3 separate regions of the Mus musculus genome follow, and all the other regions are reported to be linked to region 2. The links are microRNA targets in miRTarBase. Many come from high-throughput screens and were not tested one by one. Region 2 holds a microRNA gene; each other region holds the end of a gene's coding sequence.
Evidence for each region. Region 2 holds the annotated microRNA mmu-miR-687 (CUAUCCUGGAAUGCAGCAAUGA, at 4,024-4,045, shown strand). A microRNA usually pairs through its seed, bases 2 to 8, with sites in the 3' UTR of a target mRNA and lowers its output. Matches are read on the target gene's strand: a 7mer-m8 pairs with bases 2 to 8, a 7mer-A1 pairs with bases 2 to 7 and ends in A, and an 8mer does both.

Region 1 (7,200 bases), not on the chromosome of region 2:
GATCCCTGAACAGAATTTCCACCAAGAGAGGTAAAAAGAAAACTCAAAACTACTCCAGCCAAAACTCCTGCGAAGTGAAATTTGGGAGGTGGCTAAGTATAAATACTGGGTATTGGGATGGACTGACACAGGCTAATCCTAGAAAGATTAGAATGTTACTGCCACCTACTGTCCCATCTTCATCAGTGTTGAATGATCACTTCAAAGTATTTAGTAAGTCATGAAGAAGTATTTTCCATTAAAAAAAAAAAAACCCACTATCTCAGAAGGACATTTCACTGTTATCTGTTCTTCCTAGAAATATGGGGCCTTAGAAATTAAAGCCACATGCAGTCCTTATTAAAAATATAATAAAATAACCCACCCCAGCCATCCCATTACTGGTGACTATAGAAATTTGTTATGTATAATTTACATTCTTTCCAGTACTTTCTGTTTTTTCAGAAGAGAAGGGCAAAGCTCTATGACTTCTCCAGATTGTAAATCACATTACTGCAGGCAGAGGGAGCGAAGTGGACAGGATTCCCAGAGAGAGGTAGAATCTTGTTTCTAGGGATGAAATCTTAGCCTGTTCAGGCCACGTACACAAATGGTTAGACAGACCCCAATTTCGAGTACTAGACTTGTAGCCAACATATGGAAAGTGGCAGTTTGGTCACCTTAAATGAGGCCCTGATACCTGAGTCTCTTTGAAGAAGAGGCGTACACAATCTGACTGTCCACCAGTCATCTGCGGCTGGAGGCACAGAGGCTCTGTCAGGTGGTGGAGAACAGGACAGGAACATAAGCATTGTGTCCAGACTCGAAAAAGAGCCTTGGGTTGACCTAACAGCTTCTTCTTGGCCTAGTACTCAGGAACAAGGGTCCAACTGTCCCATGCCTCTTATCCAAGAAAAAGGCCATCAAACTACAGGGCTCACAGAACATACATTCATGTGAGCATCTGGGACAACCTTTCCTCTGGAATTAGGATATTACTCTGGCAACTGGTGCATAAGTGAAGTCCTGTGTTTTGGAGGCTGCTGGAAATATACGGGCTCTGAGAACTACATGCAGTTGTTTCAGAGGTTCCAAGTGCTGTTGTCTTGAAAACTTGTTCTCTATGGTGCTATATAAAACTTGTCCTCCTGCAGCTGATCTGGGTATTTCCACTCCAAGAGAAGGTACGAGATCCTAATAAGCAGGCAAGCCAGAGACTTTACTCGTTCCTGGTTGTACCTGCCTAGAACAAACCTTATCAGCCTGTGATATACAGAGCAATGAGACCAGCATCCCTTGGTTATGACAGTGAGCCGAGTCAGAGGTCATACTTCTAGAAAGGGAGCATTCTGTCATCCTGCCTACAATTTGACCCTATAATGAAGGGTATTAGGTGTACTTTACATATACCAATACAATCTTTTGGTTCTTTTATATGAGATTTGGAGAAGTCACTTTCTTTTAATGATAGGCAAATCTCATTTGTTGTGGTTTGTGGAACCACAGAGAGTCCTCTTTTCAGCACGTAGAAAGGGGAGAGGGCTCTCTACCCTGGAACGTGAATGCCTGACTACTATGGCCATTGGAGCCCACAATATACAGACCCTCACAGTTTCAATGTCATCAGAACATTCCAGTACCAAAGAAAATGCAGTAAGTAACATATAGTTATACTACAAAATGTAAGCATACGTCCAGATACCTGAAAAGGCCCTCAAGCTGGTTGACTCAGCTGGGCAAGCAAAGTCTTCTAGCAAATTATATTTTCTCCATAATGTTCCTGTCATTAGTAGGCGCTGGTGGACGAGATGTGCTAATACCCTCTTTTGTGCATTAAACAGCAGTCAGTCATGCAGGGGGCCTGGAAGTCTTTCCTAGGACTGTGGGTAGGAAGCTAGCCTGACATGCACTTCTCTAGTGAGTCAGGGACACTGTATATAAAGGCCAGTTTTCAGCATGAATAATGAGGTCCAGATTATAGAGAAATATAAACTAAGCTGAGCCATATGAAGCCTCAATGGGACCTAGACTATTGCAACCTTTGAACAGTGTGGGACTGTGGCAAAATATATCACCTTAGAGGTCAGGAAGCTTCAAGTTTCTATAGGCCTGGAATCATAGCACTCAGTAGGCTGAAAAAGGAAGACATCTGTGATCTCAGGGCCAGCCTGGGATACATAGAAAACCCTTGTGTTTTTGTTTTGTTGTTGTTTGTCATTTTCTTCTCTTTTCTTTTAAATCCGTCCAACACATTCAAAGAAAGTAATAGCAGGGTAGACAAAGTCCCAGATGAAAATTTTAAAGTGGACCAAAGAACAGTTTTAGGAGACATCAGAGAGAAGGAAGATCTTTTACAATTTAGCAGGCCTTCAAGCTAAACAATTCAAGTCTAGCTATTTGTCCCTTCTTTTGTAGACATTAGTCATTATTCCTTTAAATTATTTGGGAAGAGAAAGGAGGCCACCAGGGTAAGAGGAAAAGCAAAAGGGAATGATGGGAAGTATAATCTAAGTACAATGCATACATGAATGGAAAGGAAACATATTATTTCGTACAATCAATATATGCTAACAAAATTACTTTAAGTCCACAGAAGATAGTAAAATTGAAAAGCTACTATGTTTATTTATTGCATCAAATTTCAAAAGTCTGACTAAAAAAAAATATTATAACCTTTACCTGTGACTGTCTTATCATCAGGTTTAGAATAAAAGGTGATAAAGGGAGATATGAAAATCTAGTAATTCTGGATGAGCAGTAATACTGTGACCCATCAGTATCAGCCACTCCAATATCTACTGCAAAGAACAAAATCTTAAATATAATCATAGCAACATGCATCCTTGTAAAAAAAAAAAAAAAAAAAAAAGAAAAAAGCGATGGTCTACTAGGTGCTGGGATGCAGGAGCCAGAGGTCTTTTTCCATACAGAAATAAAAAATACATAGGTACAAGTGTCCACTTGTTGGATTTCTAGATATTTAAGTGACACTCACCTAATAAACATATGGTGATCCCAGGAGTCCCATGACAGTCACCGAGTACAACGAATGGGTTCCAAGCACCCAGTGTTTAGAGGGTATACTGCAGTCTATCCCCAAAGGCCCAGTTTCTTATTTCCCATCCAGTGGTAAACCTTTTTTTCCTCTGCCCAGGCTCCCTTCTGTTCACTCTGTGAAGGCTGGGAAATTCACCATTTACCTCCAAACATTCTAGACTAAATTTCAAAAGGTAAGCCTTATTGAACAAAGCAGGTATTATTTCTTAGGATGCTCTAAAGCAAGTGGTTTCTAAGTAGGAACCAAGAAAGCTGGAACTGATAGAACTAATTTTATTTTCCTGGGTGAGACCTTGATTTCCAAGTTCACTTAGGAGGCAGTTGCAGCAAAGGCTGGCATTTACGAGATGCTGAGTATCACTAAAACCTCAGTGGGGTAGTGAACATCTAAGCATGGCTGGGAGGGCAAGTGGGCAAAGCCTCTTGGTGAAAGGTGAAAGGGACATGAGGGAAAGGAGAGAGGCCTGTAAGGACCAAGGATAACAAAAGGGAGAGGATTTGACAAGAAAGACACTCAAAATCTCCTCCTGCTTTACACCATGAACTGTGGTATCTTTAAAGCCAGCAATCTTTCAAGAGGGTCATGAGATGACTTATAGTCACCACTCACTAACAGATACCTCTGGAACATACGCTCTACTTTCAATCAACCTAGGGTCAATTTCCAGACGTCGGCAGAAACTTAGACTAGGACCAGTGGTATGGTGTGGGGGAAAACGGCACAGTTATGCACAGTGTTGGTTTCCTCATTGCCGTAGCTAAAACACTTTCTCAAAGTGAAAATGAAAGTTTGAATTCAATGCACATGGAAAGTATCTAAGGACTTTCCTAGCTGTTTCCTACAAAGCCATAGAGAAATAATGCTTTGTATGCTTTGATTCTTGCACACTCCACAGGCACTTTCTGTCTAATTATAGAAGTTGGGCATGTGCCTCTTCAGAGGGGTTGGCCTACCCGCTAGATGAGTCCCACAGTGCCAGTCCCTGAACTGTCCTGGAAAACAAACTTGGAAACCCTCATACAACCTATATGAGCAATACAAAATTTTAGGCTTATCAAAATTGCACAGAAATAAAACACTCTTCTATCTGCAAAGCAAAGCAATGTTTAAAAGTTATAAATATATTCATAAAAGCCTGTTTTGGCCGGGCGTGGTGGCGCATGCCTTTAATCCCAGCACTCGGGAGGCAGAGGCAGGTGGATTTCTGAGTTCAAGGCAAGCCTGGTCTACAAAGTGAGTTCCAGGACAGCCAGGGCTATACAGAGAAACCCTGTCTTGAAAACCCCCCCAAAAAAGCCTGTTTTGTTTGATGGAATGTGAGGAGAGAGCCAAATCTCAGTAGCAGAGCCCGTGTCTAGTACACAAGAGGCCCCAAGTTCAATTCCAGAACTGCAAAATGAGGGATGAGGAATGATAGGTACCTCTTTGTTCCCCTTTAAACAGGCTCATGGAACACTATGGCAAAGTTTAGAGCTGTGGCCTGCCATAGCCTCTTGGGGTGGACCAGTGGACATGTGTGGCTGGCTGAGAAAGCAAGTCTGTGGGTGGCTCTTAACTCAAGTGTTCACCCAGAGCAATAACGGTGAGTCGAGTTTTTCTTCATGATTGATTTAAATCTCTCATCTGGGAATTCTTTTTCAAAAAAGAAAGGAAGGAAGGGAGGGAGGGAGGGAGGGAGGGAGGGAGGGAGGGAGGGAGGGAGGGACAGAAAGAGAGAGAGAAAGCAAAATAAAACATAACTTTTATAGTTCAAAGACTCCCTTTAAGGAGGCAAAGAAACAGAAATCATCGTGCTTTGGTGAGTGAGCAGCAGGATTGTTTGTAGCAAGTTTGTTTTACAGCCCACTTGTCTGAGAAAGAAAATCCAACCTAGTAAGTAAGACCATAGTGACAGACAATGCCCCTGCATACACTTCCATTCCCTGTGGATCACTCTGGAAGGTTCAGATAGGACATATATGTGTAAGCCCCTTTAAAATATATTTTTTCTTTTTTCTTTCTTTACCATATAGAACACACATACATACATATTATCCTAAGGTCAACTGCAAAATATGAACTTGCCTCCAAGTAGTTAAAAGACTAATAAGATACAAAGAAACATCATTCTAACAAAGACAGATCATTGATGAGCTGTTTAATGTGAACTGATATATTTAAAACAAGGATCCAGGGTAGACAGGGAGAATGTTTTAGTAGAACATGGCACAGATGAAAGTTAATTAATACCCACTAGCACCTCACATGAGCCAGAAAGACAGAGTAGGCAAAACATCACAGAGGAAAAACCAAGCACATGGAAAAGGACCCTGGCAGGGAGCCCCACTGTCCCAGATCCGCTCGCAAGGTCGTTCTTGTGCACTCAGTCTGGACAGTGTCTGGAAGGGAACAAAACAGTTCTAATCTGAAGCCGAGGCTCCAGTGCCAGCAGCCAGCCTCTTCACTCCGGCTGGGGTCATCTGCCATGTGGCTGGGGACTGAGTATGCTTAGCTGGGACACCAAAGCTCCTTCCACCCTTTGTTTCTCTAGAAGGAACCCTCCCCCAATTTCAGCAGTGGATTCTGGAAGCTTTGAAGCTATTTAACTCAAAAACATGAAGTAAAAGCAGACTCTCTGAACTTAAACAATCAATCAAATGGACAGGCAGACTCATAAAAATAAAACCAAGCGACCAGTTCATTAGCCAGTTAGTTAAGTCAACATCTGAATGAAGACATTTATACAACATCCACAAGACACACCAGCAGAGAGCCACTGCTGGCAGCTGGGAATAAACAGCTATCCTGTCCTTCCAGCACACTGTATTGCTACCAGAGAATGCAGGCCATACGCTGAAGTTTAGAGACTCTTCCAGTTGGCAAAGGACCCCGAGCCATGGTCAGCCTAGTGTGTGTCCAGGTCTATGGGAGACAAGACTTACACTCTCAAGTCACGATCCCCTAAGCTCCCTCGGTTCTTTCCGTACATTATGATCTCTGCATAGGAAGGTCCAAATATGCTGTTTTCCTCTCGGGTCTAGGCACTCTGGAACATCTGACATTAACTAGCTTCCTTCATTTCTTTCCAACTCCATTAGTGACTTTGGACTTAGAATGCCGGTTCCTTCTTCTGGAAGAATGGCTTTCGTGGTTGCTTGAATGCTTCGGTGGGCTGTCTTCAGAACCTGCCCAAAGAAAGCCAACACATTATCACCAGGGGCCTCTGGGCTTTGTGGCTGACTCCTGGGATCTGCCATGCTTCTCAGCTAAAATCCAATTCTTACTTGATGTCCCTCTAGTGGCCCCATTAATAAATTAAGGCCAGGGGAATCTGACAGTCTTGTCTATGCCTTGTGTGTACCAGGTAACTGTCCCATAAAACTGGAGTTCTAAGTAATTTTTAGTCTGGGACACAGTCATGAGGACCAGAAGTGAGTTCAAATGAAAGCATAAACATTAATAAAAGTTCAGCCACACTGGTAGGTATCCATCTTATGCTTACAGCTACAGTATAGATTCCCCAAGTCTGTATACACTGAACGGTTAGACAGGCTTTGTAAGGTCTCAGTTGGAAAAGATTCTTGACTTTATAACTTTAAAACTATTAGCAGAGACATCAAGATCTTTACAGGCAAGGTACCTGATGCTCTGAGTGACAGCCCTGAGGTGACATTGTAACACTAGGGCTACTGTTTCCTCTGATATGAGGATGTGGCCAGCCCCTAAGGGAGTGGCTAAGCCTAAACCCTCTCTTCTTCAGTGTTCTGGTTCAGTTCTGGGTGAAATATTTACCAAAGACAGCCACTTAACGCCACTCCCCAAAGGCCCAGAAGCATTTTGTCTTCATTCGAAGTATTTGTCACAGTCCCAAAGGTTCTGAAAAGTTTCTCCTCTCTCTCTCTCTCTCTCTCTCTCTCTCTCTCTCTCTCTCTCTCTCTCTCTCTCTCTCACACGCACACACACTTCATATGCTGCATCACTTGCACACATAAATTCTTTCTATTGGAGAACGAGGAATGCCCAGGGCTGATTATGTAACTGGATGGGCCCAGAGAAGGTCAGTCTAGTGAACCCCTTTGGCCACACAGGTCAGCAGACTGCAGGGTGCTTGGAAAGCAAGCAGAATTCACAACACCAGCTCCCCAGGGTTATCTCGAAGCACAGGTTGTAAAGGAACTGACAGG
Region 2 (7,200 bases):
GGGGAGGGGAAGGAAAGTGGGGCTTATAAACAGAATAATTCCTCCTAGCTTCCTTTTTCTTCTTAAAGGGGATAAAAAACATTTAGAGGAGTGTGTGCAGTTTATCAAAGCATACATTTTTAAATGTATAGTTCAGTGATTTAGTATATTTGTAGAGTTGTAAAACTACTAACACAATCTATTTTATTTAAACCATTTTCTCACACCAAAGAGAAACTCTGTTGTCTCTAAGAGTCCTCAACAACATAAATCTACTTTCTTTTTCTGTAGATTTGTCGAATCTGAACATTTTATGTAAATAGAATCATATGTAATTTCATATTTAGGGTGTGTGTGTGTGTGTGTGTGTGCGCGCGCGCGCACGTGTGTGCAGGTGTGCAGGGTAGGGTCCTGACTGAGTTCTATGACCTTGCAAATCCTAGGCAAATGTTCTTCCACTGAACTTCGTCCCCAGCCTTGAGTGTGGATGGCTTCTTTATAGAGCACAGGTTCAAGGTTCATCTGTGTTGTAGTTTCTGTCACATACTACATTATGTTTATAATTCATCAGTTGATAGAAACTGGATTATTTCTTCTTTGATGTATTATGAATAATGTCAATATTCATATATAAGGTTTGTAAAACATGTTTTTATTTTTCTATGTATATGTAAGTAAAATTTCTGGGTCATATGTTAAATCTTTAACCTTTTTGAGAAATGGCAGGGATATTTTCTAAAATGGCTTTACCAATTTATGTTTTATTTTTAAAGATTTATTATTTTTAAGTGTGTGTGGGAGGGTGTTTCTATGTGTAGGTACATGCATGTTTACAGTATCTGTGAAGGCCAGAGACATTGGGTCCCCTGGGGCTGGATCATAGGCATATGTAGCTGGTAGCTAATGATAGCGAACATCTGCTTTAGAGAAGTGTGTGTTAAAATCCTTTCTGAAAAGACAGCAAGAGTCTTCCTCACTGAGCGTGGCGGTGTGCAAACAGACCTCAAACTCACAGAGCTCTGCCTAAGTCTGCCCCTCAGTTCTGGAATTAAAGGCACAGCCACCACAACAGGCGGCAATGATTTAAAAAAAAAATATGTTCTGTATATATCTTTTTCTATGAAATATGTGTTTTGAAAATGTTTTATCCTCTGAGAAACTTCAGGTCATCTTTGGTTTGTTTTTTGTTTTGTTTTTTGCTTCTTTTTTTTTTGTTGTTGTTGGTGGTGATGGTTGGTTGTTTTGGCTACTGGTATTTTGATGTATGAACAAAAACATTGTCAAGTTTGGAGGCATCAAGACCTCATTTTTCCCAAGAGCTTTGTGCTCTTAGTTTTCTGTTTCAGTTTCAATCCACTTTGACTTAGTTTTGCAAGAGGGCAGGGGAGGACTTCTCCCTCCAGTTGTTCCAGCACAGGAGCCCCACCCCCCTCTTTCCTCTCACTCTTTCTCCTTGGTGTGAATCCAGGGCCTCTTACTTTGTGGCAAACACTTCACTGAGCTATGCCCATTCCCACACCATCTCTTGAAATGCATCCTTTTTTTTTATTATTATTCTTTTTCTTTTTCTCTGTTGACAGCTGTTGAAAGTCTATTGATTTTTTTTTTTTTTTAGTGTACACATGTTTATTCCTGAGACTCATTTCCAGTCTGTTATCTATGTAGCTATTTTGGTGAGAATACACTGTCTTAGTTACTATAGCATTCCAATTTTTTGGAATAAAGAGACACAATTGTACTTTGTTCTTTTTGCAAGATCAATTTAACTGTCCTGAAACTTAAATTTCCATGTGAGTTTTAGGACTGACTTGTCATTTTCTCTGAAGATTTTGAAAGAAAGTTCACGGGCTAATGTGTCAGTTTGGGGGATGTCACATGTAGCATGAAGTCTTCAATCCATACGGAGGATGCGGCTCCTTCCCATCCTTCCAGGCTTTAATTTCTTTCAATAATAGTTTATAGTTTTCAGAATACAAGTCTTACATTTATTTTTTTAAAGATTTATTTACTTATTATAAGTAAGTACACTGTAGCCGTCTTCAGATACTCCACTCCACAAAAGGGAATCAGATCTCATTACAGATGGTTGTGAGTCATCATATGGTTGCTGGGATTTGAACTCAGGACCTTCAGAAGAGCAGTTGGTGCTCTTAACTGCTGAGCCATCTCTCCAGCCCCTTACATTTATTTTATTAACTATACTCCTATGTATTCTATTCTCTTTAATAATAAAGGAAATTATTTTTATTTCATTGTTTTGTTGATCTGTGTGATTTTTGTATCAGCAAAGTATTAGCTTCATACAGATAGTTGGGAACTTCTAATTTCAGAAGAACTTTTTAAGAATTGATATTGATATTGAGTCTTTTTCTTCTTGGAATTTTGCTGAATTCACCAATGAGGTCCCATAGGTATGGGGATTTGTGTGTGTGTGTGTGTGTGTGTGTGAACACTTACTGTTTAGTAATTCAAAATTAGCTTTTTTACTTTTCAGTCGATATTGGCATCTGCATAACTTGAGGAACTTAGTGTCATCTTAGTTCTTTTAGTGGTGCATAATTTTCATAATATTCTCATATAATCCTCTTATTTCAGTAAGACTGGTAATGTTCCCAACAAGAATGATATTTTAAACAAAAACATAATTATAACTTAACATGTATTTGGATGTATAAGCTGCAGTACACTGTGTTTTTAAATAGATAGCTATTATTTTATGTTCCTGCCACTTTCTATAAAAGGGAAACCCAGATTCCTAGAGATTTTTTTTTTTTGCAATTCCGAGTTTTATGAGTGAAACGTGAAGATATTAAAGTAGAAGAAGACTATCAGTTGGTCTGTCGTCATCAGTGGCGCTCGGTGGGAAGCTCAGTCATCACACACTGAGCAGGGGTGGGGATAGAAACCTTTGCTCAGAGCAGATGGAAGCAAAAATGGTACAGAAATGACCAACACTTGAACTAGACCAAAAAAGCCGTTTTAAAAATTGATATTTAAGGCCCCAGGGAATCATTTTCAAATCTTAGTTTTACATTTTAAATGTTGTTTTATTGAAAGATACCATATAGAAAATCCATTTATCATAAGGATATGTTCTGATGAAAATTGAGCAACAAAACAGATCCAGCCTACATTCAGATCACAGATCACAACACCATGAGCAATGTAAGGTCTGTCAGCAGCACTTTCTTACTCCCTAGATTATTACATGTCACTTCAGTTGATAGCTTGAAACTTTTCACACAGCCTTAAAACAGTATTCATCATACAATTAGCTTGTTCTAAGAGTTTCAATACTTTTGATATATACTAAAGAACTGAAGCCAAAGTCAGGGTACTTTACAAACTTGGTAGTCAGTCATGAGTAATTGAGTTAGCTGCTTGCATTTTGTTCTGTAAATACAAATGTTTTGATTAAATACCTTATGTAGACTTTTGAACAGCTCAGAATAAGGGGAAAACTCAGAAGAAATTAAATTTCCTTCTTTTAATAATACTTAAAAGAGCCAGGTGAGGTAGTATGGTCCCTCATGCCTCTGTCACTCGCTTGCTAGATTATGATGTGCTCTATGTATGGCATCTGCAAGGTGAAGAACATCGACCTCAAGTTCAAAATCATCGTCACTGCCTACAAGGATCTTCCTCACGCTGCCCAGGAGGTAGGTAGCCGCTCATGGTAAGACTGAAAAATAAATCAGTATTCATAGTTTACTTCAGTTGTTAAATAGAGATCATATATCCTTATTTACTTCTTTAGTGTTGGTTAATTATTTGTAACTGAAGTATAATTATAAAACTATGGCAAACTATGAAATCCAAATCTTCATAAATAGTACTATATTTGTATATAATAATAACTGGGGTATTTGAAATAAACTTTGACATAACATATAGTTTTTATTTTTCCGCAGGAAAAGATACTATAAGTCAGTCCTTATAAAGACCTAGTAAAATTTCCCAGTGCAAGCCCATTTTATACCTCTAAATTCTTCTCCCACAGATGCTATCATGGTAAAACACACATAGTCTGACACACATTTTACACTATCCTGGAATGCAGCAATGAATCCTGGGTTATTGTTTCAGTCTGTCATTGTATTCTTGGAAAGTGATACAAACCAGTTTAGTTTGCATTATATATTTGGAGTTATTTTCTAAATTGGTTATATACATATTGTTTAACAGAGGCACTCCATAAGATGTCTTTAGTTTTACCTGATGAACATTTATACAAGTGGGACCTGGTGTCCCAGACCTGTAATTCTCATTCAGAATAAGTGAGAAGAAGATGTCACGAAGTATGAGGTTGCATAGCTAGACCCTGCTTATTAAACAAAAACTTGTTTGTAAAAATCTACTTAAAAAATCTGTTTCTACTACGAAAAATCTGTTTCTTGCAGGAGAGTGGTGTACATGTTCTAAACCCTTTAGATGAGGGGTTGAAAGCTGCTACGGGCCAGTGAATGTTGTCTGTATAGTAGTGCTGATGGTGCTGGGTTTTGGTTAGCACAGCCTAACTCCCTTGTAGAATGGCCAGCATTCTGTCGGTGGCTGCCAGGCCCCTTCTCTGGATCACCTTGGTGACATTTCACTTTAAATAGGGTACCTATAATTTCAGTCTAAGGGAGCCTTGGTTAGATTATTGTTTTCTGTATAAAATGTGTTTTTTAAATAAAACTAAATACAATTATTTTAAAATAAAAGTTAAAGAGAAGTTCTTAAATTTATTTAACATGTTTTTTTTCCTTAGACCTTTAAACGTGTTTTGATCAGAGAAGAGGAGTTTGATTCCATTATAGTATTCTATAACTCCGTTTTCATGCAGAGACTAAAAACAAATATTTTACAGTATGCCTCCACCAGGGTATGTTGAAAATATTCTTTAATTGGATAAATCTAATAACAATATAATGGATCCTACCAAAATACTACATCGATGATTTTTTTTCTTTTGTTTTGGGTCTAGCCTCCTACCTTGTCACCAATACCTCACATTCCTCGAAGCCCTTACAAGTTTTCTAGTTCACCCTTACGGATTCCTGGAGGTAACATCTATATATCACCCCTAAAGAGTCCTTATAAAATTTCAGAAGGTCTGCCAACACCCACAAAAATGACTCCGAGATCAAGGTTGGTGTTTCCTTTTTAAGGGAATGCTGAAAACAGTAATACTGCACTTGGCAATTTTGATTTAAACATGAAAATGTAAAGCTTTTTAAAATTCAAAATGGGATAGGCTGTTGAATGTCTGATTTCTTTATGTGCATTTAGTGAATGTGTGAAAAGGGTTTTTTTGGGGGGTGGGGGGCAAAGAAAAGGTGTGTGCCTGGATGGGCTTGTGTATCACTCGTGCTTGCCTAGCTGCTGAGGTCTCTTCTGTGTATAGCTTAAGAACCGATATCCACGTGTGCCTCAAAACACTAATAGTTTCATAAGCCATCAAAGTAGAACATTTTAGGTTAACATGTTTGTTTGTTTGAAACAGGGTCTCACTATGTAGCCGTTGGCTGGCCTGGAACTTGCTAAGTAGAACAGGCAGGGTACATACTCAGAGATCCACCTGCCTCTACCTCCTGACTGCTGAGATTAAAGGTGTATGCCATCACACCCAGAATCTTTATTAAAAATTTACTGTAAGCTCCATGGATTATAGTGTTTTGCTTGTTATGAAAATGGAGTCATTAGGGCTGGCAGCATGTACCACCCATGAAAGTACTCGCCACAGAACTAATGACCTGAGTTTGAGTCCTGGATAGAAGAAGCAGAGAACCAGCTTACAAAAGTTGTTCTCTGATTCTGAGACACTTGCTCACACTCACACACACAGATCATTCACACACAGAAATAGAAATAAGGATATACGCTTTGGAGTCTGGCTTTGAAGCCCTTCACTGGACTACTTAGGTGTTATCATAGGCTACTTGAAACTGGCTGGATGTTTATAAAGCAGAAGTCCCATTAACTAGTATAGTTAATGCCATCTCAGCAGCCGTTTTCAGTACCTGTAGTTTGTACCTGGTGGGCAAGAAAAGTAAATGAGAAGAAGCACTTTATTAGCTTCTTAGAAGCTACCCGAGTAGTACAGTAATTACATGAGAAATGCACACTTGTGAATACATTTTCAAACTTTGTAGAAAAACATGAAGTAAAACATAACTGGAAATACGGTGAAAGGCTGCTGTGTGTGTCCAGATCCCTCTCTGTATGATGTGCTTTGTAACTGATTATCTGTGTACAGGTGTCCTCAGCTCACTGTGTAACATGCTAAGATGTAACACCATGTCTTCTTAGGTAAATGTACAGAGTCCCATGCTGCCACATGACTTGGCAGTGTATACTCTGGAAGTTTCTGATGGTGATAAATAATCCATATTATGATTATAATGATGGCTGTTTGCTGATCTTAATCAAAATCAGTTCTGTATTGCTATTCTTTGTTCCCATTAATTTATTAATTTATTTACCATACATTCTGATTGCTACCCTCCCCTCTTCCCAGTTCCTACCTCCCCAGTTGCTAATCTTATTTTTTTTTCCTCTAAGAAGCTTTATCTTTCAATATGTAACCCAGGGTAGCTTCAAACTCACTGCTTCAGTTTCTCAAGTACAGGAAGGAAACAACAAGCCCAGCGTGCATTGGTGCTAATTTTAGCCAGGGAAAAGGTCACACTATTAAGCATCCCAATGGGCACATCACTGGTAAAGCGTTAGAGAACTGTGGCATTCTGTTCATGCAGCATGCTTAGGTACTCTGATTAATCAAATGTGCGTGGGAGGATGTCACTTAACCAAAGAGATGGAAGACAGGACAATCTACATAGCTACTACTTCTTTATTGAGCTACATATAGAAATGCTTTTTCACCTTAATTATCAAAAATATAAATTATAACTAAGATTAAGTCTGGTAACATAGACCTATAATCTCAGCTGCTTAGGAGGCTACACCTGCTGGCCAACTCGGTGAGACCCTGTCTTAAACTAAAAGGTCAAAGTTTTGGGATGTAGCTTAGCGATAGAGTTCTAGCTTAACACATTTGACAAGGCCCTAGTTTCAACCCCTTGTAATGTGGCTGAAATGAAGACAAATGGAATAAGTATCTCACATAACAAATAGCATTTACTAAATACCAATATAAATACTAATTAAAATGTGATTATTTCTTTATAAGCATACATTATAAAGTTATATTTCTTGGGATGAGCGGGGCTCGCATGCCAT
Region 3 (7,200 bases), not on the chromosome of region 2:
GGTACACCCACATAATCTGTGGAAGGTTGGCACTGGCCCAGCTGGGGGATATCAGACCCTCGGGGAGAATAGCAGTACCTACAATGGCCCAGAGCACTTTGCAATCCACAGTGGGGATGGACTTGGCACCAATGGAAATACTTTCCATGAACAGCCCTTTAAGACCCAGCAGTATGGGAGCCAGCTCAACAGGCAGCCACTGACTTCCAGTGCTCTAGATCATGCCTGTGGTACAGGGATTCAAGGGTCCAAGCTAAAAGGCAACAGCTTGCAAGAGAATGGGGGTTTGCTAGATTTCAGCCTGTCCGTGGCACCAAATGAGTTAGCTGGCAACACAGTGAATGGCATGCAAACCCAAGATCAAATGGGACAGGGATACATTGCCCATCAGCTACTCAGTGGCAGCATGCAACACCAGGGGCCCAGCCGCCCTGGTCAACAGGTACTAGGGCAGGTTGGTGCTACCTCACATATCAACATCTATCAAGGGACAGAGAGCTGCCTACCAGGGACTCAGGACAACAGCAGCCAGCCATCAAGCATGGCAGCTATCAGGGGCTACCAGCCCTGTGCCAGCTATGGGGGTAACAGGCGTCAGGCAATGCCAAGGGGCAACCTCACTCTGCAACAAGGACAGCTCAGTGACATGAGTCAGAGCAGCAGGGTGAACAGCATCAAAATGGAGGCACAAGGTCAGTCCCAGCAGCTCTGCTCTACCGTGCAGAATTATTCCGGTCAGTTCTATGACCAAACCATGGGCTTCAGTCAGCAAGACAGGAAAGCTGGCTCGTTCTCCCTCTCAGATGCCAACTGCCTGCTCCAAGGGAATGGCACTGAAAACTCTGAGTTACTCTCCCCAGGTGCTAACCAGGTAACAAGCACAGTTGACAGCTTTGAGAGTCATGACCTAGAAGGTGTGCAGATTGATTTTGATGCCATCATAGATGATGGGGACCATACCAGCCTAATGTCAGGGGCCTTGAGCCCAAGTATTATTCAGAACCTTTCCCACAGCTCCTCCCGTCTCACCACTCCGCGGGCATCCCTCCCATTCCCATCCCTATCCATGGGCACCACCAACATGGCTATCGGGGATATGAGTTCTTTGCTGACCTCCCTTGCAGAAGAAAGCAAGTTCCTTGCAGTTATGCAGTAGGCGGTAGGCAAGGAGGACCACAAACACAAAGACTGAAATGACTTGGGATTTTTTTTTCTTTTTTAAGTTCTGTGTGTATTTTAGCAATCTCATCTCACCTGATTGGGATGTGTCTCAAGTATATTCCTTTTATGGAAAAGGACTCTGAAAAACCCTAAGGTATTCTAGGGGAGGAACTGTCTTCCATTTCAGTTTGAATCAGTATTGTGACATTCAAATCACCCTTGTTTTTTTGTTTTTTGTATTTTTTTAAACCTGTAAGCCTGCCCTCTTTTGAGTGAACCAATGTAAATGTATACTGCGCATGTTCTTTCTTTTAGAAGAGAAGTCATCAAGTTAAAAGATTTGGCCTGCTTCTCTGCTAACCCAGGAACTAGGAATTGGTGGGCTTGTGACCAAGGGGTAACAGGTCCACCTTTTTAAAGTTTTTCTTTACAGTACTCAGTGACTTGCTTTTATGTGTGTATGTGTATTTTTTATTCCCACACTGAGTACAAGAATTGAATGAATAGTGAGCTTGAAGATTATTTGTGGGTGCACTATAGTTAGTATAAATAGCAGGTTTTCACGTGTCCTCCACCTTGATTCAATTCAGGGCATACTTTTAACAGCTTCACAAAAGTGGAAATGTGGGGATCCTGGAAATGAAGTAGTTTGATGAGGGTTTTTATAGGGGGTAATTCTTATGTAAGTACGCATCCCGTGGGTATGTCTATATGGTCAGCTCTCCATTATCTCCTGTACATTCCCTTCACCTTTATGAACATTCAGTGTTATTTAGCACTGCAGTGAGAGTGGACAGGCAGTTGGTGTTCAGATGTGTCACACTTTTAGCTTTTTGGTACGAAGTTAGACCAATTATAGGTTGAAACAATTGGGTAGAATTACTTGGAGGACTGTTTTTTGGACTTGCTATAATTATTCATTAGTCCCACCTCTTTCCTCATTGTCATAGGTAACTGAGAATTGAATTGACTATACATAGCTCTAAGTAGGTATTTAAGCAGCCCACAACTGGATACATCACTACCGTTTATTAAATTCACTACAGCAAGAGAATATGTCCTTTCTAAGTGCCCTATTATAAAGGAAAGATGTGTAAAACCTAGTTATAAAAGGCAAAACTCACATACATTGACATCAGAAATAAATTACTTTAACCAGTTTTAGCACTGGAGAGCATGAAAGTTGATGTTTAGTAGCCATGTGAATTTCAGATACCATTAGTCCTTACCATTGGACTAGGGCTTTTGTTTTGTATTCAGATTTTAAAGATTTACACAGTGCAGCTGCTCTTCACATGTAGATCAGATATGAGAGTCATACTGTGTGTACACAGAGTTCAGGGATTATCTTAGCATACTACTTTAAAACCGTAAACAATTAAAGTGTTTACCCATCAGCCCCAACATGGAATTTCCCCAAGGCTGTTATTGACCGGGTTGTGTGACTTCTCCTCTTAAATCCTGCCTGTAAATTTAGGAGTAGGAAGGCGAAACCCAGTAGGTGTTAGGTAATAGGAAGGATGCTATGACCAGCCAATTTCACTTAGGCCTGTTTTCTCTCTTTTGGAGCCCAAACTTCACCAGGGAAGAAACTTTGCCATGTAGGATGACGTTGTGGCTAAGCTAGCTTTCTGATAGATGTCCCCAGGACCAGTCAAACCATCTGTAAGTTCACCGTGCCCTGCAGCCTTCTCCCAGAGGTTCCTTATAAATCAAAGGACAGCCCACAAGAAAGGGGAATTACTGGTCTGAGTTCAGGAGAGTAAATAAAGCAAGGCTTCTTTTTGCCTCAAACAGGTCACAGTGTCATCACAAAATGGGTGATGGAATCCCTGAATTTCATTTATCAAAAGTCTTTTTTGTTTTTTAATCTCTGGTTTGGGTCTGACCTGGCATGCCTTATTATTTGGCCAAATCTCTTTATTACTTTTGATTTCAAAGAAGGGGTTCAGGAATTCTTCCTTCCTCAGCAAGAAGAATGAGCTTGGTTTCTGGTCACACCCATTGCCTCCTGCAGCAGAGACCTCTCTAGGTGGAGGCCTTGCATGTGACCTTGATGTTCTCAAGTGCAGTGATTTTCCATGTTAGCGGTCCCTCCTAGGAATGCAGTGCACAGAGCCAGCACCCCTGCCTTCTTACCTTCTGCTTTTGACTTTTTCATTGTTTTCTTTTTTCATTGTTTTTTTTTTTCATCCTTATTTTTCAAGCTATTGCCTTTAGATTTTTGGAGTTGATGTTTCCACTCACTATCTGACCTTTCTTGATATGAAGATTTCAGGATACAGATTTAAAAAAAAAAAAAAAAAAAAAAAAGGAGAGTCAAAAGTGTTCTATCCCAAGATTTCACCAATCTGTCCTGATAGTCCAGTTCAAGAATGATCATTTGGTCACTATAGCTAACCCATGGGACATGAGATCTCTTTAGGCTTGGTCTTTCCTGTCAAAATCCCACTCCTGGTCAGCAGCCCCTTTCCAGTCCTTGGCTCTTGTATTTAGGAGAAACAGCTTTGGCTCTCTCATGTCACACACAGCTGCTTTTTAATGAAAGTACAGGCTCATACATGGTACTCTTGTTTAATGTCTGTGTTAAATGGTTTGGTGTTTGTTTGTTTTTTTCCATAATTTTTCTAAAGAATTAAAGAACTCACTTCCCTGCTCCTCACGTGTTGGCTTGTCCTGAGCCACGGGTTTTGATTCTTGCAATGTATGTGCCTTATTTTATGTTTCTCTTGTCGATGAGAAGGACCAGTTGTTGTTGTTGTCCAGTCAGCACTCAGAGGCTGCATGCCCAGACAGTGTCACCAGGAAGTGAACACAGGACTGTGGCAGTCTGCGGTGTTGGGTGACCCGATTTCCTGTGTTGTTTGAAGCTAATAGGAGGGTGTTCTCCTCTGACAAGTTACGCTTGTATATCCTGCAGATGTGTAAAATAAACTGTGTTCCTTTTCGCCACCATTTTTTAGATTTTTTAAAGAAGAAAATGTGTAATCCTTTTTAAAGAACAACACAATGTAAATACATTCAAGTATTGTAGACGTAGAGTTGGGATGTGATGGCCTCGGGCCTTCCTTGGAAAAGCCTGTGGCTGCTCAGTGCTCCTAAGCCATGAGAATGGCAGCCCAGAAACATGAACTCTGCCTTGGCTTTCAGAACCACTTAGTCCTTTTATAACAAAGAAAAAAATAAATAAATAATAAAAATGTTTCTTACAGTGTCAATAAAAAAAACTTTGTACTGAAATATTCTACTGGATTTCTTTTATTTAATTCCTGTTTTTAAGAAAAGGACACGTTCTCAAGAAAACTCCCCAGGCTATAGTTGACTCCCCAGTGAGTCCATGGGAAGGAGACTTCTGATGGTAATGTGGAGGGCACTATTGCAAACCAGTGTGAACAGCAAAGGAGACAACATTTCTGAATGTAGATAGTCACTGGAAGCTGTGTTAAAGTAAGCCTCCATGGGCTGGTGAGATGGCTCATTGGTTAATGGCACTGGCTGTTCCAGAGAGTTGAGCTTTGATTCTCAGCACCCACATGGTAGCACATAAAGGCATGCAACTCTAGCTCCAGGGTTATATTAGACTTATGTTAGAGGTCTCTAGAGAGACAGAGATCATAGAGATCGTGTGTGTGTTTGTGTGTGTGTATGATTTATTAAACTGGCTTACAAGCTGTGGTCTAGCTAATCCAACGATGGCTACATATTAACAGAAGGTCCAAAAATCCAGTAGTTGTTTAATCCATGGTCTTCAGTGTTCTCTGAAATCCCAAAGAAGTAGGCTTTAATGCCAGTGAAGAAATATACTTGCTAACAAGAGCAAACAAGGAAAGCGATTATTTCCTTCTTCCAAGAAGTGAAGTCTAAGTTAAAGATAGATCCTCCCACCTTAGAAATCTGGATTAGAGGTTTACCATCCTGCCTCAAAGACATGGATTAGAAGTGAGTCTTTCCAGATGATTTAATTAAGAAAAAAAAAAATCCCTCACAGGTATGCCCAGTCATTTGGGCTTTTGTTAATTCCAGATGTAGTAAAAGTGACAACTAAGAATAGTATCCATCACACCAGTTGAATTTACTGTATTTATTCACTAGAAGGAGATGAAAATGCTGGCAAATTAATTGATAGTATAAGACATTCACCTCACATACACAAGGTTGTACAGAGCATGTTAATAGGCCTATGTTTCTTATTTTTACTGATTTGTCCAATTCTGTGGAAGGGTGATAAGAGGGTTAAAAATCTGACAACTTGTCTCCTTTTTATATACTATCCTTTTATCTAGAGATACACGAACACATAAATGAAAACCTGGCAATATAGAGACTTTTCCAGCACACTTCTTTTAAATTTCTACTTTATTCTATGTGTATGAGTGTTTTGTCTGTATATATGCCTATAAACCATGTGTATATCTGGTACCCACAGAGCCAGAAGAGTGCATCAGATCCTCTAAAACTAGGGTTGCATGTAGTCTTGAGCCACCATGTCGGTGCTGAGAATCAAACTCTGGAAGAATAGCCCGTGCCATTAACCACTAAGCCATCTCTCCAGCCCCATGGAGGCTTACTTTAACGTGGCTTTCAATGACTAACTCCATTTAGAAATATCTTTGTCTTTGCATTTTCACACTGGTTTGCAGTAGTGCTCTCCACATTACCGTCTAAGGTCTCCTTTGCACTTTGTCAATGCATGTTGTATGCCATCAATTTAGCACTGTTGCTGGGAAACGGGTGCTGACTGGGTATCCCAAGACACAGTATCAGAGCATCCTTTGTAAACACAGGCACACATGAACTTGAGCATGCCCTATTCATTCCCAAGGGGAAATTCCATTGCCCCCAAATGCTTTGATCTCTCACAAAATGTATCCAAATAAATTTGGGGAAAAATAAGAAAGCTTGAATTTGGAAGGGTGAATGAGAGGACTGCAGAAGCAACACAGCTTCTGGGACAGACCCCTTTTCGGGCTCCAGACATCCGAGCTCCTTCCCCGCCAGAGAAGAGGTTTCTGCCTGGGAGGGCTTGGCCTGAGCAGGTAAGGGGGCCATCTTAGGTCCGGATACCTCAGAGACTAGTCTGCCCAGGTGAGAGTGCAGACTACAGAAGCAACACAGCTTCTGGGACAGACCCTGTTTCGGGCTCCAGACATTCCAGGCAGAGGAGAGGTGTCTGCCTGGAAGGACTCTGACCACCAGAGCAGATGAGAGAGTCATCTTGTGTCCCCTGTCCCTCGGAGACCAGTCTGTGCAGGTGAGCATACAGACTGCAGAGGCAACACATCTGGGAAAGGCCCTGTTTTGAGCCTTCATCTTCAGCCAGGAGGCAGGTCTGAACTCCAGATATCTGTGCACCTTCCCTGCAAGAGGAGAGCTTGCCTGCAGAGAGTACTCTGACCACTGAGACTCAGGATAGTGCTAGTCTCCCAGGTCTGCTGACAGAGGCTAACAGAATCACAGGAGGAACAAGCTCCAATCAGAGACAACTATAACAACTAACTCCAGAGATTACCAGATGGTGAAAGCCAAATGTAAGAATCTTACTAATAGAAACCAAGACCACTCACCATCATCAGAACTCAGCACTCCCACCTCAGCCAGTCCTGGATACCCCAACACACACGAAAAGTAAGACTAGGATCCAAAATCATATCTCAAGATGCTGGTAGAGGACTTCAAGAAGGGCTTTAATAAATCACTTAAAGAAATACAGGAGAACACTGTTAAAGAGGTAGAAGTCGTTAAAGAAATACAGGAAAACACAACCAAACAGGTGATGGAATTGAACAAAACCATCCAAGACCTAAAAAGGGAAATAGAAACAATAAAGGAAACCCAAAATGAGACAACGCTGGAGATAGAAACCCTAGGAAAGAAATCTGGAGCCATAGATGTGAGCATCAGCAACAGAATACAAGAGATGGAAGAGAGAATCTCGGGTGCTGAAGATTCCATAGAGAACATGGGCACAACAATCAAAGAAAATGCAAAATGCAAAAATATCCTAACTCAAAACATCCAGGAAATCCAGGACACACATGA

Region 1: the mRNA of Ptdss1 is a reported target of mmu-miR-687. Seed matches in the 3' UTR shown: 7mer-m8 at 5,818-5,824 and 7mer-A1 at 5,068-5,074.
Region 3: miRTarBase lists Gli3 as a target of mmu-miR-687. Seed matches in the 3' UTR shown: 7mer-m8 at 3,437-3,443.

What each region holds. Positions count from the first base shown.
Region 1 is chr13:66,995,969-67,003,168 of GRCm38, reverse strand. It overlaps Ptdss1 (phosphatidylserine synthase 1), which reads right to left. Exons shown (of 13, transcript NM_008959.3): 13 at 4,768-6,201. The coding sequence ends at 6,092. 4933433G19Rik (RIKEN cDNA 4933433G19 gene) reads left to right here. Exons shown (of 9, transcript NR_045851.1): 6 at 1-30; 7 at 3,134-3,209; 8 at 4,481-4,619; 9 at 6,115-6,351. Among named protein-coding and RNA genes, the nearest start is that of 4933433G19Rik, 33 kb to the left of the region's middle.
Region 2 is chr14:73,203,653-73,210,852 of GRCm38, reverse strand. It overlaps Mir687 (microRNA 687), which reads left to right and starts at 4,002; the gene lies at 4,002-4,090. It overlaps Rb1 (RB transcriptional corepressor 1), which reads left to right. Exons shown (of 27, transcript NM_009029.3): 21 at 3,534-3,638; 22 at 4,730-4,843; 23 at 4,946-5,109.
Region 3 is chr13:15,725,626-15,732,825 of GRCm38, forward strand. Gli3 (GLI-Kruppel family member GLI3) reads left to right here. Exons shown (of 15, transcript NM_008130.3): 15 at 1-4,401. The coding sequence ends at 1,156. Among named protein-coding and RNA genes, the nearest start is that of 4933412O06Rik, 73 kb to the right of the region's middle.